4 linked regions of the Elephas maximus indicus genome follow. The protein of the gene in region 1 binds, or shares a complex with, the protein of each later gene. Links are inferred from orthologs where the notes say so. Each region holds a gene or a part of one and is shown in the gene's direction. Other genes may lie near its edges. The genes, in order: TCTN1, AHI1, TMEM107 and TMEM67.

The links.
Region 2: TCTN1 (region 1) and AHI1 share a complex: the UniProt entries of both Homo sapiens proteins name them as parts of the tectonic-like complex. The link is inferred for Elephas maximus indicus from reciprocal best matches to the Homo sapiens genes TCTN1 and AHI1.
Region 3: TCTN1 (region 1) and TMEM107 share a complex: the UniProt entries of both Homo sapiens proteins name them as parts of the tectonic-like complex. The link is inferred for Elephas maximus indicus from reciprocal best matches to the Homo sapiens genes TCTN1 and TMEM107.
Region 4: TCTN1 (region 1) and TMEM67 share a complex: the UniProt entries of both Homo sapiens proteins name them as parts of the tectonic-like complex. The link is inferred for Elephas maximus indicus from reciprocal best matches to the Homo sapiens genes TCTN1 and TMEM67.

What each region holds. Positions count from the first base shown.
Region 1 is NC_064840.1:9,152,952-9,160,124, forward strand, and holds the start of TCTN1 (tectonic-1), read left to right. Parts: upstream 1-4,163; 5' UTR 4,164-4,271; intron 4,272-4,660; 5' UTR 4,661-5,046; coding exon 5,047-5,356; intron 5,357-7,173. UniProt on the Homo sapiens protein: Component of the tectonic-like complex, a complex localized at the transition zone of primary cilia and acting as a barrier that prevents diffusion of transmembrane proteins between the cilia and plasma membranes.
Region 2 is NC_064819.1:205,069,991-205,077,207, reverse strand, and holds the start of AHI1 (jouberin), read left to right. Parts: upstream 1-4,215; 5' UTR 4,216-4,303; exon of another isoform or gene 4,304-4,307; intron 4,308-7,217. UniProt on the Homo sapiens protein: Involved in vesicle trafficking and required for ciliogenesis, formation of primary non-motile cilium, and recruitment of RAB8A to the basal body of primary cilium.
Region 3 is NC_064837.1:12,589,606-12,596,676, forward strand, and holds TMEM107 (transmembrane protein 107), read left to right. Parts: upstream 1-4,242; 5' UTR 4,243-4,375; coding exon 4,376-4,462; intron 4,463-4,650; coding exon 4,651-4,718; intron 4,719-4,820; coding exon 4,821-4,921; intron 4,922-5,636; coding exon 5,637-5,733; intron 5,734-5,918; coding exon 5,919-5,988; 3' UTR 5,989-6,564; downstream 6,565-7,071. UniProt on the Homo sapiens protein: Plays a role in cilia formation and embryonic patterning. Requires for normal Sonic hedgehog (Shh) signaling in the neural tube and acts in combination with GLI2 and GLI3 to pattern ventral and intermediate neuronal cell types.
Region 4 is NC_064833.1:48,229,757-48,236,983, reverse strand, and holds the start of TMEM67 (meckelin), read left to right. Parts: upstream 1-4,211; 5' UTR 4,212-4,244; coding exon 4,245-4,470; intron 4,471-6,186; coding exon 6,187-6,275; intron 6,276-7,227. UniProt on the Homo sapiens protein: Required for ciliary structure and function. Part of the tectonic-like complex which is required for tissue-specific ciliogenesis and may regulate ciliary membrane composition.

The sequences.
Region 1 (7,173 bases):
GCTTGTGTGTTGTTGGGATGCTGGAAGCTATGCCACCAGTATTTCAATTACCAGCAGGGTCAACCATGGGGGACAGGTTTCAGTGGAGCTTCCAGATTAAGACAGACTAGTGATATTTTTAGCGATATAGGGCTGGAAGATAAGCCCTCAGGTTAGAAGGCACTCAAACACAACTGCGGAAGAGCTGCCTCCTCAAAGCAGAGTCAACCTTAATGACATGGATGGAGTAAAACTTTCGGGATCTTCATTTGCTGAGGTGGGACGGCTCAAAATGAGAAGAAACAGCTGCAAACATCCATTAATAATCGGAACATGAAATGTATGAAGTATGAATCTAGGAAAACTGGAAGTCGTAAAAAATGAAATGGAATGCATAAAGATTGATATTTAGGCATTAGTGAGCTAAAATGAACTGTTATTGGCCTTCCTGAATCTGCCAATCATGTTGTAGTCTACTACGCCAGGAGTGACAGATTGAACAGGATTGGCGTTACATTCATCGTCAAAAAGCATTTCAAGATCTACCCTGAAGGACAACACTGTCAGTGATAAGATAATATCCATACACCTACAAGGACGACCATTTAATATGACTATTATCCAAATTCATGCACCAATTACTAAGGCCAAAGATTTTTTTACCAACTTCTGCAGTCTGAAATTGATCAAACATGCAATCAAGATGCATTGATAATTACTGGTGATTGGAATGAGAAGGCTGGAAACAAAGAGGAAGGACAAGTAGTTGGAAAATATAGCCTTGGTGACAGATGATGCTGGAATTGTATGAAAGAATTTTGCAAGACGAACGACTTCTTCACTGCAAATATCTTTTTTCAGCAACATAAATAGGGACTATACATGTGGACATTGCCAGACGGGATAAGCAGGAATCAAATCGACTACATTTGTGGAAAAATGTCAGAAAAAGGCCAGGGGCTGACTGTGGAACTGACTATCAATTGTTCATATGCAAGTTCAAGCTGAAGCTGAAGAAAATCAAAACAAGTCCACAAGAGCCAAAATATGACCTTGAGTATATCCCACCTGAATTTAGAAACCATCTCAAGGACAGATTTCACACATTGAACATTAACGACCAAACGAATTGTGGGATGACATCAAGGATATCATACATGAAGAAAGCACAAGGTCATTAAAAAGACAGGAAAGAAAGAAAAGACCAAAATAGATGTCAGAAGAGACTCTGAAACTTGCTCTTGAACGTAAAGCAGCTAAAGCAAGTGGAAGAAAGATGAAGTAAAAGAGCCGAACAGAAGATTTCAAAGGGCAGCTCTAGAAGACCAAGTATTATAATGAAACGTGCAAAGACCTGGAATTAGAACACCAAAAGGAAGAACATGCTCAGTATTTCTCAGGCTGAAAGAACTGAAGAAAAAATTTTAAGCCCCAAGTTGCAATATTGAAGGATTCTATGGGCAAAATATTGAACAGTGCAGGAAGCATCAAAAGAAGATGGAAGGAATACACAGAGTCACTGTACCAAAAAGAATTGGTTGACATTAAACCATTTCAGGAGGTAGCATACGATCAAGAACTGATGGTATTGAAGGAAGAAGTCCAAGCTGCACTAAAGGCATTGGCGAAAAACAAGCCTCCAGGAATTGATGGCATACCAATTGAGATGTTTCAACAAACGGATGCAGCACTGGAAGTGCTCACTCACCTATGCCAAGAAATTTGGAAGACAGCTACCTGGCCAACTGACTGGAAGAGATCCATATCTGTGCTCATTCCAAAGAAAACTAATTCAACAGGATCTAGAAATTATTGAACAATATCATTAATATCACACACAAGTAAAATTTTGCTGAAGATAATTTAAAAATGGTTGCAACAGTACATCAACAGAGAACTGCCAGAAAGTCAAGAAGAGGATGTGGAACAAGAATATAATTACTGATGTCAGATGGATCTTGGCTGAAAGCAGAGAATACCAGAAAGTTGTTTACCTGTGTTTTATTGACTATGCAAAGGCATTTGACTATGTAGATCACAACAAATTATGCATAACATTTGGAAGAATGGAAATTCTAGAACACTTAATTGTGCTCATGAGGAATGTGCACACAGACCAAGAGGCAGTTGTTCAAACTACACGGTTTAAAAACATGAAAGGTATGCGTCAGGGTAGTCTTCTTTCACCATACTTATTCAATCTGTATGCTGAGCAATTAATCTGAGAATCTGGACTATATGAAGAAGACTCATTAACAACCTGCAATATGCAGGTGACACAACCTTGCCTGCAGACAGCGAAGAGGACTTGAAGCACTTACTGATGAAGATCAAAGACCACAGCCTTCAGTATGAATTATACCTCAACATAAAGAAAACAAAAAATCATCATAACTGGACCAATAAGCAACATCATAATAAATGGAGAAAAGACTGAAGTTGTCAAGGATTTCATTTTACTTGGATCCACAAAGTGCTCATGGAAGAAGCAGTCAAGAAATCAAACGAAGTATTGCATTGGGCAAATCTGCTGCAAAAGACCTCTTTAAAGTGTTAAAAAGCAAAGATGTCACCTTGAGAACTAAGGTGCACCTGACTCAAGCCATGATATTTTCAATCGCCTCATATGCAAGCAAAAGCTGGATAATGAATAACGAAGACCAAAGAAGAATTGGTGCCTCTGAATTACAGTGTTGGTGAAGAGTACTGAATGTACTATGGAATGCAGAAGAATGAACAAATCCATCCTGGAAGAAGTACAGTCAGAATGCTCCTTAGAAGCAAGGATGGCAAGACTTTGTCTCATGTACTTTGGACATGGTATCAGAAGGGACCAGTTCCTGGAGAAGGACATGGTGCTTGGTAGAGGGTCAGTGAAAGAGAGGAAGACCCTCAACGAGCTGGACTGACACAGTGGCTACAACAATTGGCTCAAGCATAGCAATGACTGTGAGGACGACGCAGGACCAGGCAGTGTTTGCTTCTCTTGTACATAGTGTAGCTATGAGTTGGAACCGACTCGACAGCATCTAACAACAACAATCTTTATGGGAGCAGATCACCAGAGCTTCCTCCTGCGGAGCCGCTGGCTGGGTTTGAACCATCAATCTTTCAGTTAGCAGCTGAGTACTTAACCGTAGCACCCTGGCCACCAGGGTTTCTATTATACTTATTAGCAGGAAAAAAATGATACCTAATTTTAAACAGATTAGAAGCCATGACTGTAGCAATAATAATAATAACAACAACCACCAGCTCACCTCAGAAGACACCAAAGAATATGAGGAGTGGTTAACACTGCCTTGTGCCTTGCAAAAAAAGCCTTAACCCCCCCCACCCCCCACCCCCAGGTACTCCTGTGTCTTAGCTTTTTCAGGCTCCTCATATGCAACATTTTCCAAGCACAAAATTCCAAAGCTGAAATGTCTTTAGTCCTTCTAAGGCTGGCACAGACTCTAAGGAATTGAGAATGCCAATAACCCTAGAGAAACAGATGGACATTTTATATCACAAACATTTATGAATAACCCAGACACTGCAGTGTTGGAAAAATAGGGAACAGATGTTAACTTCTCTTTGTGTCCTTCCATCCAAATGAGGTAACCTGCTAAGGCCAGGGCGGAAGGAAGGGAGAAAGGATCCTCTGGGATGAAAGATGAAAAAAGCCTGGCTCAAGAGGGTATCACCTGACAGAAACAGGTCACTTGTGAAATGAAAGATCCAGTTTTCCTAAGATTTGCAAAGTGTATCTGAGTTGATGTAACCCTTATTTCGACTTGGTAAGATGTCATAAAACGACTTTTTGGTTATGTACTGACTGAGATTGGACAAGAAGGTATGATGAGATTATTTCCCAAATTGTGTCCTAGTTGGAATCATAGGATGTTAGACTTGAAGAGGAACTCACAGGTCATATAATCATGAAGATAAAAAAAAAAAGAAGTTAAAGCCAAAGAGCACTTCATCAAAGTCTAATGCAACAACAGCCTAAAATTTCAAAACAGAAAACAGGACAAAGTGATTCACAGATGTTAAGCAATAAAAAAGAGAGTGAAATCCTGGAAATGAGGAGAAGGTTTAAAAAAGAAAAAGTCCTCGATTTAGCAATTATGAGATGGAGGTTTGGAAAAAAAAATTTTTTTTTTGAGGGAAAGTTTCATCAGTTATTAAAAGTGGTTCAGAATTTCAGTCAGATGCCAAAGCAATGCTATGAAGAAAAAGTTGGAACTGTGTGCCACCCATGAGTGATCCAGCTATATTTTTCTACGCTTTCTCCGGAATGCCACAGGAAGGTGCTAAAGATGTTGCTTTGATGATTTAGTTTTGCTATATATATATATTTTTTATTTAATAAACTAGGTATATGTGCTGTTTTGGCATCTTTCTGAATTGGTAAATAAATGTTTCTTGAATAAATACCATGATACGTTTAAGTATTTCGACATCTGCTTCTTAAATGTGAGATTATTTGTCCACGGTATAACTAACCTCCGTGGGTTCGGGTCCCCTCTGTAAATAAACCAGTTTAGGATGAAGGGACTTCCCTCTAAGTCTTGTGGTCTCTTTATCACTTTGTAGGATTACAGTTGATTTGCTTTGTGTTTTAAGACTGAAAATCATTCTATTTAATTTTTGTCAGTTAAAAAAGTCATTAAGTGTTCATTTGTCCCCCTTACCACAGAGCGGTGGACAGAAGTTACTTGGAGACCTCTCGGGATGCGTCTACAACAAAAAAGGGAAAGGCTGGGTCGAGCGCGTTCTGGATGGAGAGAATTCAAGGACGGTGGTGCGACGCCCATACTTCTTCAAAGGACTCGTATTTCGTAGCATCAGGACAAAAAAAAAAGAAAGCGGTTGCCAAAGTTCCGTCCCCTCACCGGTGGCGTCAGGGCACTTGTGAAAAATCCTGATTCCAGGACCCTGCGCGACGCCAACCCAATCAAGGTCTCCTGGTTGGAACCCGGAAATCTGCATAGAAGAGCCGCAGTCGAGCTGGAGAACGACAGCTGGGATTTCCCCGCCCCTCGTTTCCGCCATGTCGCGCGGCTTCGCGCCCTCCTTCCCGTGATGCCCCGCGTTCGGCCACCGCGGTTGCCAGGCAACGCGCTGTCCACCGCAAGGACCGCGCGGGGGTTCTGCAGGGCGATGGGGCCGCGGGGCTTCCAGCCGCTCCTGCTCCTGCTCCTGCTCCTGCTCCTGGGCTGCTGGAGCCCGGTGAGGGCCCAGACGGGGACCACCCCGGCGGTGACAACGGAGGGCCTCAGCTCCACCGAGGCAGCCCTGGCGACTCTCGGAGCCTCCACGCCGTCTGGGCCCCCTGCCACTCCCAGGGCGCGGGGCCCCTCTTCCGGTCCCCGGCCCACCCCGGTCACGGACGGTGGGTACCAAGTGCCAACTCCTGGGCTCCACAGTGATTCAGCCAGGAGAGGGTAATGATAATGATGATAGCTAAAGTTTACTGCACACTCAGTGTGTGCCAGACATTGCCGAGTGTTTCACAGGCGTTATGTAATTTCTGCCAACAACCCTGAGAGGTAGATGATAGGGTCCCCGTTATACAAATGAGGAAACCGAGGCTCGGAGAGCGTAATGGTGCAAAATCAAATATTTTAAAGCACTAGCAGAGCTCTTGGGCAATATTAATGTTAAAGGTAATAAATACTGAATAAAGCGTTGCAGCCTTCCAGCGGCAGATGAAATTTAATCAGAAGTTTCTAGACAGTTGTGGAAATTAAATGGATGGAATGTGTTCGGAGTTTTTAGTTGTATTAAAGAGACTCCAAAGGTCTAGTTTTCTAAATGTCAAGGCCCTCGTCTATCGACTTGAATTCTGAAAACTCTGGATTCCTCTTTAGTTAAGTTTGCCATGGGAAGATATGGGGTGAGGGATTTTGCCCACTTTTTAAGATTAATATGTAGAGCTGATTAACATTTCTCAGAAAGTGTCCCTGGAATCGGACAGTTACATGTTTAGTGAGTATTTTATAATCTGATTTGCCATGGATGACTTAGGGGGTGTCTATGACCCCCTGAGACTGAGTGCAAAATCTTGTGAACACGCATTTTTCTGGGATGAGGGTCCCTAGCAATCAGTAGATCTTCAAAGGAGTTTAGACCTCTAAGTAGATAAATAGCTGGATAGGTTATCTGACTGTGAAGGTTGAAAGAGGTGTGCAGTAGGTTTTATCCCCACTTAAGAAAACAATACTTTTTCTTAAATTGAGTAAGTCTCAGTACTAACTAGAAAAGTCATTATTGGCTGGCATTCTGAACTCTAGGACTTAACTTTAATAACTGAACTGTTATTTCTCCAAGGGGCCTCCCTTATAAATCATGAGTGGTTTGTCTGAAAAAGTATGGTGAAGTATAGTTGTTTAATAGATATGAACAGAATTCTGTTTCATATTTAAACTGTTGATTGGTGAATTAGTAAGGAAGTGAAATCAGTGATAAATTGTGACAGAATACAGCAAAGTATTCAACACCCAAAATTCTCCAAGGTTTTTGGAGCTGGCTTGTCTTTTATCTACGTTAGTCCTCCACCTGTTAATGTGCTTTCTCTCCCAAATGAAGCTATTCTTGAGCCGTCATTATTAGGGCTTGGGTTCAGGGCTCTTTTTGCCATTATAGGGGATTAATTTATACCGATCGTCATCTTTTTAAAGAATACTTTAGGCCTGTGACAGTAATGATAAATGACAGTCATGTATTAACAGCTTGCTATGCGGTGGAGCCCTGGCAGCACAATGGTTAAGTGCTATGGTTGCTAACCAAAAGGTCAGCAGTTCAAATCCACCAGCCACTCCTTGGAAACCCTATGGGGCAGCTCTACTCTGTCCTATAGGGTGGCTATGAGTTGACATCAACTCGACAACAATGGGTTTGGTTTTTGGTTTTGCTATGTGGCAAGCACTGTGGTAAGCATTTCAGCTGTGATATATCTCACTTCACCCTCGTAACAACCCTATGACGTTATCACTATTTTTCAGATAGGCGAAGTACTTGCTTAATTTAAGGCCACATGGCTGGTAAGTGGTGGAGCAGAAAGCTGGCTCCAGTAGAGAACTGGACAGCCATTTGCAAAACTGGTTGCAGCCAGTGTTGGTGGAAGAGAAGAGTGGTAACTGTTCATCTTGAATCTGAGCTCTGCTCATTAGTACCCTACTCTACGATGCAGGCATGTAGACATTAAGA
Region 2 (7,217 bases), on another chromosome or scaffold:
ACCCAGCAGCTCTGAGGGGGAAAGCTTTTGCTAATCTGCTTCTGTAAAGGTTATAGCCTCGGAAACCCTATGAGGTGGTTCTACTCCATCACAGTGTTGCTATGTGTCCAAATCGACTCAACAGCATCCAACAACAACCACTTTTACCTAACAAAGTTAACAAATAGTCCTTAACATTATTCAATACCTTTGTTGTTGCTGTTAGTTGCAAACCAGTCAATTCTGACTCATGGCAACCTCATGTGTACAGAAACTATTTCATAGAGATTTCAAGGCTGTGACTTTTCAGAAGCAGATTGCCAGGCCTGTCTTCTGAGGCACCTCTAGGTGGGCTTGAACTGCCAGCCTTTCTAGTAATCTAGCGCTTAACTGTTTGTGACAGATTCTCCATTATCACTTCTTAATTGCCTGCCTCTCCTAGGATGGTCGAGCGACCTAAGTCTTGCACTCTGGGTTTACAACACAAAAGCAGTATATCTGCTTTCTTCGGTGTGATTGGGACTGATTATAATATGCTTACTATATCCCAACTGGAACAGTAAGCAACATCATAATAAACATCATGAATATTCAATTACACTACAAAATGAAGTTGTCAAGGATTTCATTTTACTTGCATCCACAATCAATACCCATGGAAGCAGCAGTCAAGAGATAAAACTACGTATTGCATTGGGCAAATCTGCTGCAAAGGGCCTCTTTTCAATCTTGAAAAGCAAAGATGTCCTTTGAGGACTAAAGTGCCTCTGACCCAAACCATGGTGTTTTCAATGACCTCATATGCATGAGAAAACTGGAGAATGAATAAGAGGACCAAAGAAGAATTGATGCCTTTGAACTATGGTGTTGGTGAGGAATGTTAAATATACCACGAACTGCGAGAAGAACGAACAAATCTGTTTTGGAAGAAGTATACCCAGAATGCTCCTTAGACTTCATCTCACATACTTTTGACATGTTATCAGGAGGGACGAATCCCTGGAGAAGGACATCATGTTTAGTAAAGCAAAGGGTCAGCAAAAAAGAGGAAGACCCTCAATGAGAGGATTGACATAGTAGCTGCAACAACAGGCTCAAACATACTTACTATTGTGAGGATGGTACAGGACTGAGCAGTGCTTCGTTCTGTTATACATGGAGTGGCCATGAGTTGGAACCAGCTCGTTGGCACCTAACAGCAACAACATATTCCAACTGTTACTGGATAACTGGATATATCTCACTTAAACTAAACATCTTTTCCCCCAAACTTGCTCTTCTTCCTGACTTTCCATTCTTAATTGATTAATCATTCTTCATCTAGTTACTGGAGCCAGAATCCCAGGTGCTTTTAAGTCATTTGTTTTTCATTTTAAAATAATTTTAAACTTACAGAAAAATTGAAAGAATACTATAAAAACTTTGTTCAAATTCCTTTGCCCAAATTTCCCAATTGTTAGCATACTACATTTGCTCTATTAGTCTTTCTGTCTAGATATATTGTTGTTGCTGTTAGCTTCCATTAAGTCAGCCTTCTGACTCACGGTGACCATAAGTACGCAGTAGAACTGTTCAATAGGGTTTTCTTTCTTAATTGCAAACTTTACAAAAGCAGTTCACCTGGCCTTTCTTCTGTGAAGACATTGGCTGAGTTCGAATCGCTGACCTTTAGGCTAGTAGCCGATTGCAAACTGCTTATGCCACCCAGACTCTTTATCTATATTCATTATTTATATTTGTTATCTTTATATATACATTTATTTCTGAATCATTTTGGATTAAGTTGCAGACATGATGCTTCATTACCTTTAAATTCTTCAGTGTGTTTTTTATAAAAACAAAGCTGTCTCCTACATTACCAGAGTACAGTCATTAAAACTAGGAAATTAATATTGTTAAAATACTATCACGTAATCCACAGATTTCATTTCAATTTTGTCATTTGTTCCAATAATGTATTTTACAGCCAAATAATTCAATTCAGAGTCATGTGTTCCATTTAGTTGTCACGTCTCTTTAGTCTCCTTCGATCTGAAAAAGTTCTTTACTCACTCCTTATCTTTCATGACCTTGACACATTTGAAGAATACAGGTTTGTGATTGTCTCTCAATTTGAATTTGACTAATGTTTCCTCATGATTAGACTCAGGTTATGCCTTTTTGGCAGAAATACCACAGAAATGTGTTTGAAGTGACTCTTACCAAGTGTCACAAGATGTAAATTCACCCCATTACTGTTAACTCTGATTACCAGTGCCGGATTTCTTCAAGTTTCTATTTTTTTTCCTTTGTAATTCATAAGTATTTTGTGCAGAGATAATGTGAGACTATGCAAATAATTTGTTCCTCTTAAAACTCTCACCCACTAGTTTTAGCATCCATTGATGATTCTTGCCTTAATCATTTTTTACTGTAATGGTTGTGTCATGGGTTGAATTATGTCCCCCCAAAAATGTGTGTTTATCAGTTGGGCTGGACCATGATTCCTGGTGTTGTGTGATTTTCCTGTATGTTGTAAATCCTGCCTCTATGATGTTAATTGAGGGAGTACGGGCAGCAGTTGTCTTAGTGAGGCAAGACTCAACCTCCAGTATTGGATCGTGTCTAGAAGCATTCTCTTGAGACTTAAAAGATACAGCAAGCACAGAGACAAAAAAGATAGAGCAAACACAAAGACAGGGGGACCTCATCCCACCAAGAAAGCAGCACCATGTGCAGAGCGTGTCCTTTGGACACTGCATCCCTGCGCCTGAGAAGCTCCTCAACCATGGGAAGATTGAGGACAAGGACCTTCCTCCAGGGCCAACAGAGAGAAAAAAACCTTCCCCCCTGGAGCCAATGCCCTGAATTTGGACTTTTAACCCACTAAACTGTGAGAAAATAAAATTCTCTTTGTTAAAGCCATCCACTAGTGGTATTTCTGTTATAGCAACACTAGATAACTAACACAGGTTGCCCAGTGATTTTTGTACCTGCATCACTTCCTCCTTCATTTATTAGTGGCATTCTAGTATAAGGAAGAGCTTTATCTCCCATTTTTAAAAGCTCATTTATTTTTATCAGTATGCATTCAAGAGCTGGGGTCACTGGATGGCAGCTAACAGCAGCACCAAGTATCTGCCTAGATCACTGGTTGGATAGTGGTGCCATAAACCAAGATGAAATCCAGACAGGGAGGTTTTGGGTGGAAAGTTGAAGACTTCAGTTTGGGACACATTGGGCTGATAATATTTCTCACTGCTTATTTCACAGGATTTAAAGAAACGAATGAGATATATTTTGTGTAGAATGGACTGTAAAGTGGAATGGAAAGCCAATGGCAATGTAGTCTGGCCTCCACAGAAAGATGGATAACGCTTTCACTGTACAAACGAAGCAACAGGTTACCACGTCTGACTACCACTGCAGAAAATGGCCTCTAATTCAAGAACGGAGGAGTTTTAACTTGTCTAGTATTTTTCCACCCTTGCTGACTCAGAGGTAAAGATGGCGCCTGCGGCACAAGTAAGTGGGCGGGGTTATTACGTGAGATAAAAAATGACGCTTTAATTTTTGTTTTGTTTTAAAAACAGTGAGAGCTCACCGCTAGACGAGTAGTGATTAATTTTTTCTCTAAGATTTTGTCTGTAGTACAACTATTCTCCACGTTTTAGGCATTTTTTTTTTTTTGTGGGCGCGAACGCGTGGGAGATGAGGCGCCTGCTTCTTGCTTCATTCACGTTTCTTTTCCTTGGCGGCATCCACGATAGCCTCCCCGCCTCACTTTTCCCCCTTCTGTTTCTCCCAGCGTTTGTTGCAGTTCTGAGGCGCAAAGCCCCTGTTCCGGGGCGAGGGTGGAAACGCGCTCAGGCTCTGACGAGCACCGCGTATACCCGTTTCTCATCCTGCTCCCAGCTTAGAGGAGCCCCGCGCACCCCCCGGAGCGCGTGCCCGTCAGCCCGCCAGCCGCAGGCCAGCGGACGCGCGCGCGTTGCCTCCGCAGGCGGCGTACTGCGGCACCTCGCGGGCCGCTGCGTAGGCGGTGCGGGGGCGGGGCCGTGGACGGGGCGCGGAAGAGAGACTGCGGTCCAGATAGAGAGCACTGGCTGCATCGGTTGTCATGGGAACGGCGGCGTAGGCTAGCGCTGACGTCAGCGGCGGGAGGAGGGTGCACTGCCCACACTGCGGCATCTGGCTCGCTTGCAGATCCTGGGTCGCTGGCGGCTGGGCCATTGCGTAGCAGCCCAGCTCCCGGCCCACCTCGCCTGGCGCCGGGAGCCGCTTCCCACCGCCCGGGCTCGGCTCTGGCGGGACAGGCGGTCAGCAGCTCTGCGCCCTCCGCTTTGTGAGTACGTGGCTGGCGGGCTGGTGGTGGGAGCCCAGGGCTGGGGACTCGTCCTGCCCGGGCCCTCTCGACTGCGTGGACTGATGTGGTCTGAGCGCGGGGGCGGAGTGCCGGCTTGGCCGGGCTGGGGCCGCACTGCGCCACTGCCAGGCGTCCGGGAGGGGAGGGATGTGATTTTTGAGAAACACCTCTACGCACTTTTCCGCTCCCTTCCGTGGAAGACTCTCTTCGTGACTTGTTAGCGTGGTGTCCTAAGAGGGAACGCATTTCTTGCTTTTACTGCTCCCGGTTCAAGCTTAAACGCTTTAAAATCAGATGCGTATGTTTATTTCCTTTTATAGTGTCAACCTGGTGCTGAATCTTGAGCCTGTGAAATGCCTTCTTAAATACATCTGAAAAACGGTGGTGAATGTTATATTTGTTTAAAAAATAAAAGGTGTAATAGGGTCATTTCAGTATACATAAAAATAGAAAAAGAGTTGATAATTTAGGAATCCCTACCAAATGGTTGGGCCTTATTTCAGCATTGCTGTGAAATCATCTACAGACTGGCGTATATGCTTTTACTTTTTTTGAGAAAGACATGGCAACAGTTATTTCACCTGTTGCATTAATGGTTGTTGTTATTGCTTAGGTTTTCAGGAAAAAAAGATTGCTTGTTATGAGGACCCTGGGAAATTTTTAAAAGAATATTTGAAAAATTCAAATACCAAAAGAGTTTTTTAAAACCACATTCAGAATATTGTTTATGAAGACTTGTTGATTTGCAGGAGAAAAATGTGGCAGGCTGCTTCCATAAAGATTACCCAGAGGAACCCAGTGCTGTCAAGTCGATTCTGACTCATAGTGACCCTACAGGACAGAGTAGAACTGCCCCATAGAGTTTCCAATGGGCTCCTGGTGGATTCGAACTGCCGACCCTTTGGTTAGCAGCCATAGCACTTAACCACTATACCACCAGGGTTTCCATGAAGATTATGGCCAAGAAAACCCTGTGGGGCACTTGTACTGCCCTATGGGGTCTCTATGAGTTGGAATCAACTCCATGGTAAAGGGTTTGTTGATGATTTATTAATTGAATTATTTATATGGGAATTTTGTTTGTTCCTTGCTATTAAAGTTGATTAAGGAGTGAATCATCCAAGCCTCTCTGCTTTTTTTCCCCTTGATCTTTAGTCACTTACTGATTGACAGTTGAAAATCAGGAGATCAGGGAAAATTAAAATGAGCTGAAACAATCCAGTTATGTTTCTTACTTAGTATCTCTAATCATTTTATGTGAAAAAGGTATCTGAGGAAGAAGTTTTAAAATAATGGCATGTATACCAAAACCACCCAAACCCAGTGCCATCGAGTCGATTTCGACTCATAGCGACCCTATAGGACACAGTAGAACTGCCCCATAGAGTTTCCTAGGAGCACCTGGTGGATTCGAACTGCCGAACCTTTGGTTAGCAGCTGTAGCACTTAACCACTACGCCACCAGGGTTTCAAACCCACTACTGTTGAGTCAGTTCCCACTTCGCTGTAAGTGGGAATTGACTCAACAGTAGTGGGTTTGATTTGGTTTGGGTTATGAGGTTCAGGGATCTCTTTTTTAATCTGATCTTAACTTCTGATCTTAAGTCAGATAATGTCGCTGTCCATTAAATAGTAGTCACTAATTCTGTAATGTTTTTTTCTGTAGTACACAGTAACATTGAAAAATGATTAGGTCAGTTATGTATCTGCTATATTATTACATAATATTTTTTAAAAAGCTGGTTGCTCAACTGGACTGGACCAAAAGCAAAGAAGTTTCCGGAATAAACTGAATGCTTCGAAGGTCAGCGGAGCAAGGGCAGGGGTTTGGGAACTATGGCTTAAGAGGACTTCTAAGTCAATTGGCAAAATAAATTCTATTAAGAAAACATTCTGCATCCCACTTTGAAGTGTGGTGTCCGGAGTCTTAAATGCTAACAAGCAGCCATCTAAGATGCATCAATTGGTCTCAACCCACCTGGATCAAAGGAGAATGAAGAACACCAAGGTCACACGATAACTATGAGCCCAAGAGACAGAAAGGGCCACATGAACCAGAGACTTACATCATCCTGAGACCAGAAGAACTAGATGGTGCCCGGCCACAACCGATGACTGCCCTGACAGGGAGCACAACAGAGAACCCCTGAGGGAGGAGAACAGTGGGATGCAGACCCCAAATTCTCATAAAAAGACCAGACTTAATGGTCTGACTGAGACTAGAAGAATCCCGGCAGTCATGGTCCCCAAACCTTCTGTTGGCCCAGGACAGGAACCATTCCCGAAGACAACTCATCAGACATGGAAGGGACTGGGCAATGGGTTGGAGAGAGAAGCTGATGAAGAGTGAGCTACTTGTATCAGGTGGACCCTTGAGGCTGTGTTGGCATCTCCTGTCTGGAGGGGAGATGGGAGGGTAGAGAGGGTTAGAAACTGGCAAAACGGTCACAAAAGGAGAGACTGGAAGGAGGGAGCGGGCTGACTCATTAGGGGGAGAGTAAATGGGAGTATGGAGTAAGGTGTATATGTTTATATGTGACAGACTGACTTGATTTGTAAACTTTCACTTAAAGCACAATAAAAATTATTTAAAAAAAAAAAAAAAAAAGCCAGTTGTCCTTGAGTGGATTCCGACTCATGGTAACCCCTTGTGTGTCAGAGTAGAACTGCTTATAGGGTTTTCAATGGCTGTGACCTTTCAATAGTGGAAATAAATCTCTGGCCCTTTCTTCGGAAGTGCCTGTGGGTGAACTTCAACCTCCAGCCTTTTAATAAATACCCTAGTGCTTAATCATTTGCACTTCTAAAACCAAACCTGTCAATTCTAACTCATAGCGATCCTGTAGAACAGAGTAGAACTGCCCCATAGGGTTATCAAGGTGATAAATCTTTA
Region 3 (7,071 bases), on another chromosome or scaffold:
GCAGTGGTTTTACAGGCTCCAGGCTCAGCGGTCCCTCCGACCCCGACTCTGGCTGGAGTCCTGCAGACAACCAAGAGGGCCTGAGCTGGTCACCACAGGCCAGCTGGGATGGACCTGCCCAGAAACGGATGGAAGGACAGATACCAGGCAGAGTGTGACGGAGCCATTCCAGAGCCTGAAGAAGTGAGAGATTAGCTCCTCCATCAGTGCACCTTCTCCCCGGCTGCAAATTACAATCTCCTGCGGAGCGTTAAAAAATAGCCACGCACAAGCCCCAGGCTTGGAGACTCTGATTTAAATGGTCCAGGGTAGATATTTTTGTATAATTTACATACAATGAAATGCAGTTTGATGAATTTTGACAAAATCATACACCTGCGCAACCCACAACTCTTCAAGATACAGGATGGTTTCATCGCCCCAGAAAGTTCTCTCCTATCCCTTCCCAATCCACCCCCGCTTCCCAGAGGCGATCATTGTTCTAATTTCTATCACCATGAATGTCAGTATTTTTTTTAAATTGTACTTTAAATGAAAGTTCACAGAACAAACTAGCTTCTCATTAAAAGTTAGTACACGTATTGTTTTATGACATTGGTTAACAACACCAGGACACGTCAACATTCTCCGTTCTCGACCTTGGGTTCCCTATTACCAGCTTTCCTGTCCCCTCCTGCCTTCTAGATCTTGCCCCTGGGCTGGTGTGCCCCTTTTAGTCTCGTTTTGAAACTTCAGTATTTTTTTAAAGCTCCACTAGGGAGACGGAGGAGTCCCTGGGTGGTGCAAACGGTTAACATACTCGGCTGATAACCAAAAGGTTGGAGGTTCAACTCTACTTTTTGAAAAATCAGCCGTTGAAAACCCTACAGAGCACAGTTCTCCTCTGAGACACTTGGGGTCACCACCAGTCAGAAGACAGCAACTGGGTAGCTAGACAGAGCTGGGACTTCTGCAGAGGAACAGCCGGAACTGGAAGAAATTCCGACTGTGTCTTGAAGGATGAGAGGTGTTCAACAGGCTTACATGTGAGAGAAGGTCATACAGTATCTCGCTCCTTGCCCTCCAAGCCAAATTTTTGCACATTGTGCACAGTGGCCCTACCGAAAGTTTTAAGGGACCACAGAAATGTCAAAGCCCACAGATGTTCCTCTCGCCTGGCCTTACTGGACTCAGGACAACATCTCCTCTAAGAATCTTCTTCTCCCTTGGTTGTCAGGACACTTGTCTGCTGGCCGTCCCTTAACCCGCTCCTCCCCCAGCCCCACCTCACTCATCCCTCTTTTTCTGTCCTCACCTTAAATCCTCATTTTCCAGTTCTGTCTTCTTTCCTCAAGCCATGCATGCTCCCTGGCTTCAGCTATCTCTGTGTGCTGAGGGCTCCTGGATCCCACTCCCTCTCCATACCACCCCACTTCTAGATTCAGACACCTCTACTTGACCCTGTCATCCTTTCCCAGTCCTTCTGCACGCTCAGTGAGTGGCAAAGCTGAAGCTGGGACTCAACCTTGACTCTTTCCTTTCCCGCAATTCCCATTTCCAATAAGCCACCAAGCCCTGCCAATTTCCTTAATAATTCTCCTGTCAGTCCTCATTCTCCTTTCCCATTGACAAGCCCCAGCTTCTTTTGACCCATTATTGTAATAGACTCCTCTCTGTTCTCCTTGCCTCCAGAATAGTCAAGAGAATCATCTTTGTAAAATTCAAACATGATTCCCTCACTCCTTAGCTTAAAATCAGTGCCACATCACCTTTTGGATGAAGGTTGGCCCACAAGGTCAAGTAATATAGTGGTTAAGTATGTGGGCTCTGGAACCAGGTTGCTAGGATTTATATACGAGCTTTGCTACTTACTAGCTGTGTAATTTGGGCTACTTATGGAACCTCCCTGTGCCTCAGGGCCTACATCTGTAAATCGGTAATTGTTATGGATTGAATTGTATCCCCCCAAAATGTGTGTCAACTTGGCTAGGCCATGATTCCCAGTATTGTGTGACTGTCCACCATTTTGTGATCCGATGTGAATTTCCTATGTGTTGTAAATCCTACCTCTATGATGTTAATAAGGCAGGATTAGAGGCAGTTATGTTAATGAGGCAGGACTCAATCTACAAGATTAGGTTGTGTCTTGAGTCAATGTCTTTTGAGATATAAAAGAGGGAAGCAAGGATGGGGACAGGTGGGGAGGGCGACCTCATACCACCAAGAAAGCAGAGCTGAATCCTTTGGACCTGAGGTTCCTGTGCTGAGAAGCTCCTAGGCCAGGGAAAGGCTGATGACAAGGACCTTCTCCCAGAACTAACAGAAAGAGACTTCTAGAGCTGGCACTAGCCACATGGGGCTATCCCAATAAATTTTTTAAAAAAATTTCAGTTTCTCAGTCCCACTATCCACATTTCAAGTGTTCAATAGCCAGATGAAGCTAGCTGGCTACCATATTAGACATAGACAATATGGAATATTTCCATCATCAGAGAAAGTTCTATTGGATAGTGCTGGTCCAGAGGTTGAAGCCTGGTGTACTGTATTGCCATCATGGTTATTTTTTTCATTTTTAAATTGAAGACCAACATTTAGAATTGAAATAAGAAGCTGGATTTCTGGTCTCTCAGAAAAAACAAACAAGCAAGGAATCTGGCAACATTGGACTCAGTTTCCCTTAAGACAACTGATTGAAGCTGAGTAGCTGCTGATCTACTACCCCTCCTCCCACAAGCCCCTACACACATTTCGGAATGGCAGTGGCTCTCCTGGGCTTTGACCTCAAGGGAACTTCATTTATTTGTTGTATTCGTTTTGTTCTAGTAGGAGAGACATAATAAATGAGTATAGTAATAAATCAAATGATTACAAATTATAGTCAGGACTGATGAGAGGTAAGAGTCTGGTGGCTAAAAGCTCAGATTTTTAAGTCAGACTGGGGTTTGCTTAACAGCACTGGGTATGGTTTGGTTTTGGTGCTGTCATCAGTTACAGGCTCTGTGACCTCAGGCAGGTAAATACACTGCTCTGTGCCTCGGTTTTCTATCTGCCTCATAGATGTTGTTGTCAAGTGCTGTTGAGTCAGCTCTGACTCATAGTGATCCTATCTACAACAGAATGAGATGTCGTTCAGTCCTGTGCCATCCTCACAGTATTAGATATGTTTAAGCCCATTGTGTCAATCCATGTCCCTGAAGATCTTCCTCTTTTTTGCTGACCCTCCACTTTACCAAGTATGATGTTCTTTTCCAGGGATTGGTCACGCCTGATAACATGCCCAAAGTAAGCAAGACAAAGTCTCGCCATCCTTGCTTCTAAGGAGCATTCTGGCTGTACTTCTTCCAAGACAGATTTGTTTGTCCTTCCGTCAGTCCATGGTATATTCAATGAGCAGTTCTACTCTGTCCTATATGGTTGCTATGCGTTGGAATCATTGGGGTTGGTTTTTGGCTATAGTGTGTACATATGTATTTTTTTTTAACGGAAGGATAAACCAAAAACTAATAAAATGGTTTACCTGAGATGGAGGGTGGAGGGTACACGAATGGAGGCCTGACTTCTCTCAATGTACTTTTTTTTTTGGTAGATTTCACTATGCAACCACATAAATGTTTAACATAATTACAGAACAAAATTAAAATCAAAATTTACAAAGCAATCCATATAAACTTAGAATTATTTTGTCGATATCTACAAAATAGCTTGTTGTTGGAAGGTGTGTTGGTTTAAACTTTGTATTTTAAAATGATTTATAGAAAAACTGCAAAAGTACTACAAGGAATTCTCATGTGTTTTATTTTTTTCACCCAGACATTGTTTTATCTTTGTCTATCTATCTGTACATACACGCCAGTGTCCCAAACCCGGCGTGGCAGTGGCAGCGGTCTCCAGTGGTGGGTCATCCGGCGCACCGTAGCCGGGGCTGGGGGCTAGGTCGTTCCCTGTGTGAGCATCTGGGGACGAGGGGCTGTCCCCGGGCTAGAGCAGGCCGGGTTTCTGCTCGCCCGCCCGGCCGGGTAGATTCGGCGGTGCCAGGCCACGCCACACGGCACAGTCTCAGGGGCAGACGGCTCTGCTGCCATCGAGGAGCTGCCAGTCAACTCAGTTCCGACTCGCGACCACCTGCAGCGGATCTCGGACCCACGCTGCCCTGGAAGCCCCTGGCGGCTCGAGAATTTACTGCTCTCGCGAGATTTCTAGAGAACGTGGCCCAGCGCCTATTTACGCAGTTGCCAAGGCAACTGGGCGGTGCCAGCGCGGGAGGGGAGGAGGAATACGAGTTTCTCCGCGCTGGTGGGCGCGGGCGGGCGGTGCGGGGACCTCAGGACCCACTGAGAGCTTCCAGCTTCAGAGACCACGGCCTTTGCTCTGGCCAGTGCCCCTGCCCCCGGGGGCCATGGGCCGGGTCTCCGGATTCGTGCCCTCTCGCTTCCTGACGCTCCTGGCACATCTGGTTATCGTCATCACTTTATTCTGGTCCCGGGTAAGACCTACGGCCGCCCGCTTGTCACCCCTAGCCCCACCTAGGATAGTCCCAGTCCTACCCCGCCCCTTCCCTAGGACTTTCTGACATCGGCCCTTTCGGGGGTTCCCCCATCCCCCGCCGCCTCACGCCGGACCCGCAGCCGGCCCCTTTTTCACACTTTTGTTCCTCTCTGCCCGGCTCCCCAGGACAGCAACATCCAGGCCTGCCTGCCTCTCACATTCACCCCCGAGGAGTACGAGAAGCAGGATGTTCAGTGAGCTCTTTGTGCGGGATGGTCAGAATGAAGCGGTGGTCGGAGTGGAGGGGTCTTAGAAAAAAGCCTCAAGGGCTGAGCCAGCACCCTTCCTCTTTACAGGCTGGTGGCAGCTCTCTCTGTCACCCTGGGCCTCTTTGCAGTGGAGTTGGCCGGTTTCTTCTCAGGAGTTTCCATGTTCAACAGCACCCAGAGCCTCATCTGTATCCTTTCCACCTGCACACCTTTCCCACACGGCCCATTTCCAGCCGCCTGACTAGGCTTTTCTGGCGCAATAGTGTTTGTCCTAAGGCACAGACAAAATCTTTCCAGTTGGGAGATCTTCTTAGACAGACAGTATGAGGGATTTAATACAGTCTTCATTAATGTGTTAAGTCCCTGCTATACACCAGACACTGGAGATCCAGAAAGGGGGGTAAAACATCTCTACCTTGAAGGTAATGCAATACAACCAGCACTACACTGTAGGATTGTGGAAGGGTATAAAGCAATATGGGGACTCAGAGAAGACAAAGGAAGTGAGGGACATGGATCAGGAGAGCGGCTTGACACCTGAATTGTGGGCCAGGAGTCCCAGGGAGGTGGAGGGGGATTCCAGCTAACAGCATCAGGCTGCTGTGAGCATGCCTGTGTGGCCTGGGGGTAGGTGGGGAACCTGCTCTTACCTCACCTGGAGGGTTCAGGCTGCCCCCTAATGATTGGGTGGGAGTAGCCTGGGATCCCAGGTGTGCAGCCTCACCTCTGGCTTCTACTCAGAAGGCTGTTCTACAACTCAGAAGGCTTCAGGCTCTGATCTTGCAGTGTGGTGAGGCAGCTAGAGATTAACCTGAGCACAGGTGCCAGCCCCACCACGGGCTTTTTCTGGCCCATCACTACCTGCCATCCCAAGGCTTTCCTTGACTCTAGGGTGTGCCCAAGCCATCGGGGCACACTGTAGTGCATCCGTGGCCCTATCCTTCTTCATATTTGAGCGTTGGGAGTGCACCACGTACTGGTACATTTTTGTCTTCTGCAGGTAAGGTATTTGGGAATGGGAGAGGAAGGTTTACCTCAAATCTGAAGGTGTCCTCCATGTGTGAGATGCCAGATCCACTCAACATCCTGAAATATTCCCCACTGCATGCTGGCGGTGGGGTCTCTGGTTTGGGGATTTGGGTATTTTTATTAAGGGTCCTTGAATCCACCACCTACCTCCCACAGCGCCCTCCCAGCGGTCACTGAAATGGCATTATTCGTCACCGTCTTTGGACTGAAAAAGAAACCTTTGTGATCACCTTAATGACGGGAATGGAGGGGCAAAGGCTGGAGCAACAGGAGCAGGAAGGCATAGACTTCCGTCCTCGCCCTGCACCTGCATCTAGAGGAGGATGTCAGCGTTGGCATGATTATCTTCCGCGTCTAGGATTATTCACGTCTTATGTAGTATTTTGTAATAAAATATATTTTTAATAAGATCAAGACTTGTGTTAAAAATTTCAAACAACATCACCCCTGAGGAATGTACTCCCTTAAAAAAAATCAACCAGATGAGACTATCATTTACCCAAAAGTAAAGGTGAGAATACTGACACATTGTGAACATTGTAACCAATATCACGGAACAATTTGTATAAAAATTGTCAAATGGGGACCTAATTTGCTGTGTAAACTTTCACCTAAAACATAATAAAATATATTTTTAAAAGAGTTATAAAAATTTCAAGGGAGATTTGGGGTGGCCAAGCTACTGAAGAAACGGAAGACTGTTTTCCAGCCTTGCAGACTGTATGATAGTAAAAAAAACCCGGTGCCGTCGAGTCGATTCCTATAGCGACCCTGTAGGACAGAGTGTAACTGCCCCATAGAGTTTCCAAGGAGCGCCTGGCAGTAAGTACCTTTTATTTTGGTTATTACGGTAGACATCTGGCGGAAGGGAGTGGGTGGGGATATGTAAATAAGGGGATGCCACTGTTCCGGCTCAGCAAGTGATTACGCGGAGCATTCTGGGAAGAGTTGATTTATTCTTTTTTCGGAAGCGAATGAAAAAAAGTATATTTAAAAATCCACAAAGAAAGATTGCTACAGAAACGGAGGAGCCTTAAATAACGTTAGGTAGCTTCAGCGAATGAGTTTTACGCTCACCCTAGGTGTAAGCGCAATTTTTTTCATTGAGTGCGGAGTGGGTAAGGTTTTCAGGTTATCGTCAGTAAGGTTAATCCTTACCTGTTTCTCCTTTTGGAGAGCAGATTTAAAATGATGATTTGGAGCTCGCATGATCCGTGATTAACGTTTCCGCGTAATCAGGACCAGCAACATCCTGATTGCTCCTATCTGATTTTACTGGCGATCACTTCTTTCAGTTTTTGTTATGAAA
Region 4 (7,227 bases), on another chromosome or scaffold:
AGGTACACTTCAACAGAAAATTATTTCCCTAAGTTCACAAAGAATCAGTAAGTTGCTAGCAATGTTTTCCAGTGGTAGTCTCAAAATAGAACCTTCAAAAGCTTTGAAGTTTTAACAGTTACCTGACTTTGTTAAAAATGAAGTCATTAACAAGGAAAGCCTTTATGATATTGATAGGAGGTGGATTTCAATCTAGGCAATTAAACAATAAATACATATTTATAGGCTAAGTAAAATATCACAGAATGATTTGATTAATGTACATATAATTTGTGGAATAAGTGTTTCCCTTTGTGTCATTGGTTACTCAAAGACTGGATGTCAGAAAAAAGTTCAAAAAAAAATTTTTTTGCATATATCAGAATGAAAATCAGATGTTGATATCAAATAGTGACAATAAAAAACAAAAAACAAATTCATTGCCATCAAATCAATTCAAATTCTGCTACACCACCAGGGTTTCCAATGGTGTCAATACACACACACACGCACACACACACACACACACCTGTTGCCATCGAGTCCATTCCACCTCATCCAAGAAAAAACCAAACCCATTGCGGTTGAGTCTATTCCAACTCATAGCGACCCTATAACACAGAGTAGGACTGCCCCATAGAGTTTCTAAGGAGTGCCTGGTGGATTTGAACTGCTGACCTTTTGGTTAGCAGCCATAGCACTTAACCACCATGCCACCGGGGTTTCCTCTGACTCATAGCAACCCTAAATAAAAAAAAAAATATCTTTATCATCATTGAATGCTGCTGTTACTCTTTATTATAATAATCAGTTCAAGTGTGTTTCAAGTATGGCTCTGCATTGTTAAATAATATATCAACTCTCCGTATTTCTAGCTCAAAATGGTATTTTTTTCAACTGCTAAATTACATGCTGGTTGTTTCTAACTACGGATATTTAACATAAGTATTTTGATCACTTCAAAATCAATTTCTTACCTAAAAAAAATTTTTTTTGTTTTTCTTTTCTGCATGCAGGTGAATTTCAGATTCAGCTCGTAGGCCTTAGAAGTAATACTCTTAAAAGTTGGTCAAATTTAAACTTTTTATTGGAAAACAAATATGTCTAAATATTATTTAAATGCACATTAATGAGTGCCCTTTAGGAAGGTTGTGCTGGAGTTGAGCCATGTTACTCTAGGGCAAGAACAGTTTCTGGTATTTTCTCCAGCATCATCAGCTATATGATTCTAGGCATGCCCTGCTCATCAGTTTTTTGTAGGCATCTATCCTTCCCCAAGAAACCCTGGTGACACAGTGGTTAACAGCTATGGCTGCTAACCAAAAGGTCAGCAGTTCAAATCTATCAGGCACTTCCTGGAAACTCTATGGGGCAGTTCTACTCTGTGCTTTAGGGTCGCCATGAATAGGAACCAACTCAATGACAACAGATTTTTTTTTTTTTTAATTTAATCCTTCCCCATCAAAAACCTAAAAGGACAAGCTCACTCTTCCCTCCAACTCCAAATTACCAATTTTTAAAAATTCCACCATGTTTTATTTTATAAAAGTCACTGTGTTTCTTACTGCATGTCGAAAATTATATTACCATAACAGTGATAAGAACAATTTTTTGGTTAAATACTTCCTATAAAGTGAAATTTATCTATGAATGGTACTTCTATAATATTCAAAATACACAGTAAAAAAAAAAAAAAAAGAAAAAAATCCCTAACAATACAGCCCCAACTTATGCTTAAACAATTTTAGCTAACATTCTTTTCTGCCAGTTTACAGAGCCACTTTACAGAGATGAACTCATAGTATCTGCAGTTATCGCAAACTTAACTGTGTTTGTCTATTTCAAGTGCTTCTGTTACAGATAAACTCTCCATGTAGTTATTAGGGCAGTTTGTTAGGTACAGTGTTCAAAGCTCTTACACAATCATAGTGCCGCTGTCTGTGGTATATAATGGCAGTACCACCTTGTTAGCTAAAGATTAATGGTTTATTCCACATGTGGAATATGCCAAAATTTTTTACATTTATTCCACAAAGAAGACACTTAATACTGTGAAAACATAGTGGGTTTTGCAGTTGGCCAAATGGAGATAAATCCTAGTTTCACTAATTCCTAACACAGTGGAACTACTAACATTTTTTGATCCTGTCTATTTTTTTTTTTTTTTTTTAATAAACAGGGGTAGTTCTCCCTCAAAGGGTTGTTATGAACAGTTAAGATTAATGGTGCCAAGCGACTAGCACAGTGCACAGTGTGGAAGACAAAGAAGGTCAGTAATAAATGGGAACTTTTTATTATTATTAAATTATATAGTAGACAATGAGCAAATATTGCTTTAATCCCTGCCACAGAGCATATGAGCAATATGCACTTCATCAGGGAAGCCTAGATTTAAAACTCACCCATAGGAAGCTTTTGCAGATTAATCCCAACTATTCTAACTATTCTAACCATGCCTTTTCTGAGTCTCTGTGGTCACATGGGTTTGTTGCATGGTCACATGTTTTTTTTAATTCTAACCTCAAACACATTTTTGGAGTTCCTCTTAGAAACAGTTTTCAAAACATACACTTGCTGTGCCAGAGATTAGAACTGGGTGAATGCTGGTCTTTTGGGGAAGGCCACATGTGGTAATGGTAATGGAGCTCTGGCGGCACAATGGTTAAGTGCTGGCCTGCTACCTTTAAGGTCAGCGGTTCAAACCCACCAGCGGCTCTGTGGAGAAAAGACCCGGAAATCTGCTCCCATAAAGATTTCAGCCTAGGAAAACGCATGGAGCAGTTCTACCTATCCCATCCTGTCACTATGTGTCAGAATCAACACAACAGCATGCAACAACAATGGTGGTTAGTAAAGTTATTTAACTTTCTTAAATGCATTATCCATATCTTAATAGTGACAAACCATTTTTATTACAAAATTTGTTTTTTTTGAAAAAGTCAAAAATCATTTGAAGTTACCACTGATGAAAAGGTGGCTAAAAATAGGCTAGGATGATTTTATTGAAGAGACAAAATACAGCAGTCGCAAAAACAGAAATGCAGTTTAAATATAAAGAAATGAGGGACCTCATACCACCAAGAAACAAGAGTCAGAAGAATAACGAGTCCTTTGGACTCAGGGTTTCTGTACTGACAAGCTCCTGGACCAAGGGAAGATTAACGACAAGGACCTTCCTCCAGAGCCAACAAAGAGAAAGCCTTCTCCTGGGTCTGACACCCTGAATTCGGACTTGTAGCCTACTAAACTGTGAGAAAATAAATTTCTCTTTGTTAAAGCCAAAAAAATAAAATAAAATAAAGAAATGAGTTTTTCTTTTGTGTCCCGTACACTGGCTCTGAAGGTAATTCCAATATGTTGCAGGTAACTGCCTCAAGGGTGACTACTTTGAAAGAACATTCATATATGTGCAAATCTGATAAAAATTTAGATTCCTACTTTATTCACAGCGGTATAAAGAGGGTCTCATTCCATATACACAATTTCCAATGCTCAAAGCAAGGGAAGTAAAAAAACAAACTTCTGGCAGGTTTTTTTTTTTTTTCCCTTGTTTTGTTTTTTTCGTGCTTCAGGCATAGCAATTTTCCAGCATTGCATATTTTAAATGTTATTGATACTTTTTTGATCTTATCCATAGTAATAAATGCATAGTTGGAATGTCTTCTTCGACATGAAAATTACTCAGTCTGGATAAGTTCTGGAAAACCCCGGTGGCGTAGTGGTTAAGAGCTAAGGCTGCTAACCAAAATGTCAACAATTCAAATCCACCAGACACTCCTTGGAAACCCTGTGGGACAGTTCTACCCTGCCCTATAGGTTCGCTATGAGTCGGAATCGACTAGACGGCCACGGGTTGGTTTGGGTTGGTTAAATTCGGGTGTAAATTAATATTTAACTTAACGGTTTTATGAAACAATGTTTGCCATCCAGTGTGCTCCTACTCATGACGACCTTATGTATAAGACACAATAAGATAATTTCTTTCCTGTGCTATTCTATTTCTTGATCTCATAAACTGATTTCACGTTTCACTATTAAATCAGTTTGAACCACACTGTTTGAAATAGCCCCTGCTTTTTTTTCTAACCTACCGTGCCCCAGACACGCCAGCTTCCCGCGGGTTTGGTAACCAGGCAGCAGAGGCCTACTCTTCCGGGACCGGGGCCTGGGTGGGATGTGCTGGGGAAGCTGTCCAATAAGCTGGGCGGAGTCGCCGCGGAGGCTGATGGGGCCCCAGGGCCGGAGCGGCCGCTGGCGTCGGCACCATGGCGACGGGTGGCGGTGGTGCTGGGGTGGCAATGGCGGCTTGGCCCACTTTGTCCGCTGCGGCTTTGACGGCGCTCCTCCTGTTGGCCCTCCCTCGAGTCTTACAAGCCCAGACCTTCTCTTTACCTTTCCGGCAGCCAGAATCGTGCAGCCATAACCAGTACTTCGATATCTCCGCCCTCTCCTGCGTTCCGTGTGGAGCCAACCAGAGGCAGGACGCCGGAGGTGAGACGGTCTGGGTTGTGCCCTGGCAAAAGTAACGCTCCAGCCTTGGTGACACCCCCAGACCCCGGCAGCGCTGAAACGCCTTTTCAGCTGCTATAGGGATGTTTCAGAAAAAGTAACTGCCGACGCCTGAGGGAACAGTTTCTTCGGAGGATTGCGTTTAGCACACTAATGAGGTTGGAGAACCCCGAGTCCGCTATCTCCTGAGCGGTTCCCAGTAATTCATTTCTCGGCTCCAGTCTCCCACTCCTCACCCGGGGGTCGTTAGGGCAACACCTGGATAGCGGCTCGCAGAGAAGGAAAGGCATTGTAGAGAAATAATCTGAGATGCGGAGGTTTGGGAAGGGGATGCAGATTAGCATTTGTAAACTTTTAAAGCGCTTTATCTTGCTTTTCAAATCCCAGTAATTTAGAAATGGAAGGGACTGTAATCATGATCAGATCCATTCTTCTCATTTTACAGATAAAGAAATTGAAACCCAGAGGAGGTTATAACGTCTTTTGTGTTACCTAAATTGGGAAATGGAAGAACTCTTGTCTCTTTGCTCTTAGTGTGGAACTGTGTATGTCCACTATACAGTGTGACCCTAATATTGTAAATTTCCTTAGTACTTAGCCTTTTCTGTTGTTGAATATTTCTTATTGCTCTTAAAGTCGTTTTAAGTTAAACTAAAAGAAATAAATTCCCCTGAAATGTCCATCATTTGGTCCGAGTTCTTACAGAAACTGCTCTGAATAAGTCTTACATCTTCTAAATTCATGATCAAATCTTCAAGTTGAATACATCCTGGTTTTGCTCATCACACAAGATGGGTCAGGCCACTCAGGCAAGGAAAAATGAATGAAAAAGCATTTCAGAGACTAGTGTTAAGGGTTTTTTGCTGGGTATAGTCTTAAGGTATTAGGTTTGTAATCATAAATCCAGATATTGTATGCATTGTAGTACATAGATTAATTACTATGGGTGCTGTTTCCAGTTACCATCTACTTAGAGAATGCTGCACTTAACCTAACCAGAAAGTTGAATATTGACTATCTTAAAATGTTTACTATGTGCCCAAGCAGAGTGAAACAGTGTCTGAGTTGAATCAAGGCAACTTTCGTAATAATGAGGTTTGTTTTGACAAAGTACATTTGATTTCATTGAATATATGTGTATGCTTGAGTGACGGAAATGTAAATTTTCCCAGATCAGTTAATCAGTAGTTTGATTATTAGTTTAATAGTTCAATAGCATAATAGTTTAGTTATGCTTGCACAGTGGTTAAGAGCTCGGCTGCGAACCGAAAGGTCAGCAGATCAAATCCACCAGCCGCTTCTGGGAAACCTCGTGGGACAGTTCTTCTCTGTCCTGTAGGGTGTCTATGAGTCGAAACTGACTCTACGGGAATGGATTTTTGCACTTAAGATGGTAGCCAACACAATACCTCCTGTGTGCCAGACACACTCATGTTAACTCTATGAGGTAGGTACTGTTATTATCCCCATTTTACTGAAGAAGCTGAGGCACTGAGAAGTTGAGTAACTTGCTAAGTAGCAGAAGCAAAATTGGAACCTAAGGAGTGTGTTTCTGGATTTGCACCCTGGCTGTATTATTTCAGAGTCTTGCTCTTAACCACTATACTGCTTCTCAAGATTTTAAGAATTATTAAAAGTTCTCTGATCTTGGAGTTTTATTTTTATTTACCAAAGGCAAAATTGGCTCTTTTTCTTTAGGAACTTCATGTGTGTGTTTACCAGGATTTCAGATGATCTCTAATAATGGAGGATCTGTCGTTATTTGTAAAAAGTGCCCAGAAAACATGGTATGGAGTATTTATTTTTAAATCATTCTACTGTAAAAAAAAAAAAAAAAAAGTACATAAAATGTCTTTATTTTTTAAACTAAAATTAATATTTAATATTTTCCCACAAACTTTGAAAGTATTATGGTTACTTTGTTTTAACTAGAGTAAATTTTGGTACATCAGTGAAATTTTATGCAAATTTGGGAAAAAACTGGAATGTATTTACTTTTTTACTGTGCTTCAGGTCAAAGTTTACAGCTCAAGTTAATTTCTAATACAAAAATTTATATTGTTATGTGACACTAGTTGCAATCCCTACAATGTGACAGCACGGTCTCCATTTCCACCCTGGGTTTCTTGTGTCCTTTCAACCAGTTCCTGGCCCTTCCTGCCTTCTCATCCTGCATCTGGACAGGAACCACCCATTTGGTCTCGTGTATATGCTTGAACTAAAAAGCACATTCTTCACAAATATTATTTTATATTTCATAGTTCAATCTAATTTGTCTAAAGAGTAGGCTTAAGGAATGGTTTTAGTTCTGGGTTAGCAGAACATCCAGCAGCCATGGCTTTGGGGGTTCCTCCAGTCTTAGACCATTAAGTCTGGTCTTTTTGTGTCAATTTGAGTTGTGCTCCACACTTTTCTACCTGTCAGGGCAGTCATTAATGGTAGCTTGCCACCGTCTAGTTCTTCTGGTCTCAGGCTAACGGAGTCTCTGGTTTCTGTGGCCTTTTTGTCTCTTGGGCTAATATTTTCCTTGTGTCTTTGGTATTCTTCATTCTCCTTTGTTCCAGGTGGGTTGGGTCCAATTGATGCAGCTTAGATGGCTGCTCACTAGCTTTTAAGACCCCAGGCGCTACTCACCAAAGTGGGATGCAGAACATTTTCTTAATAAACGTTGTTAGGCCATCTAGATGTCCCCCAAAACCATGATTCCCAGACCCCAGCCTCTGCTACTCTGTCCTTTGA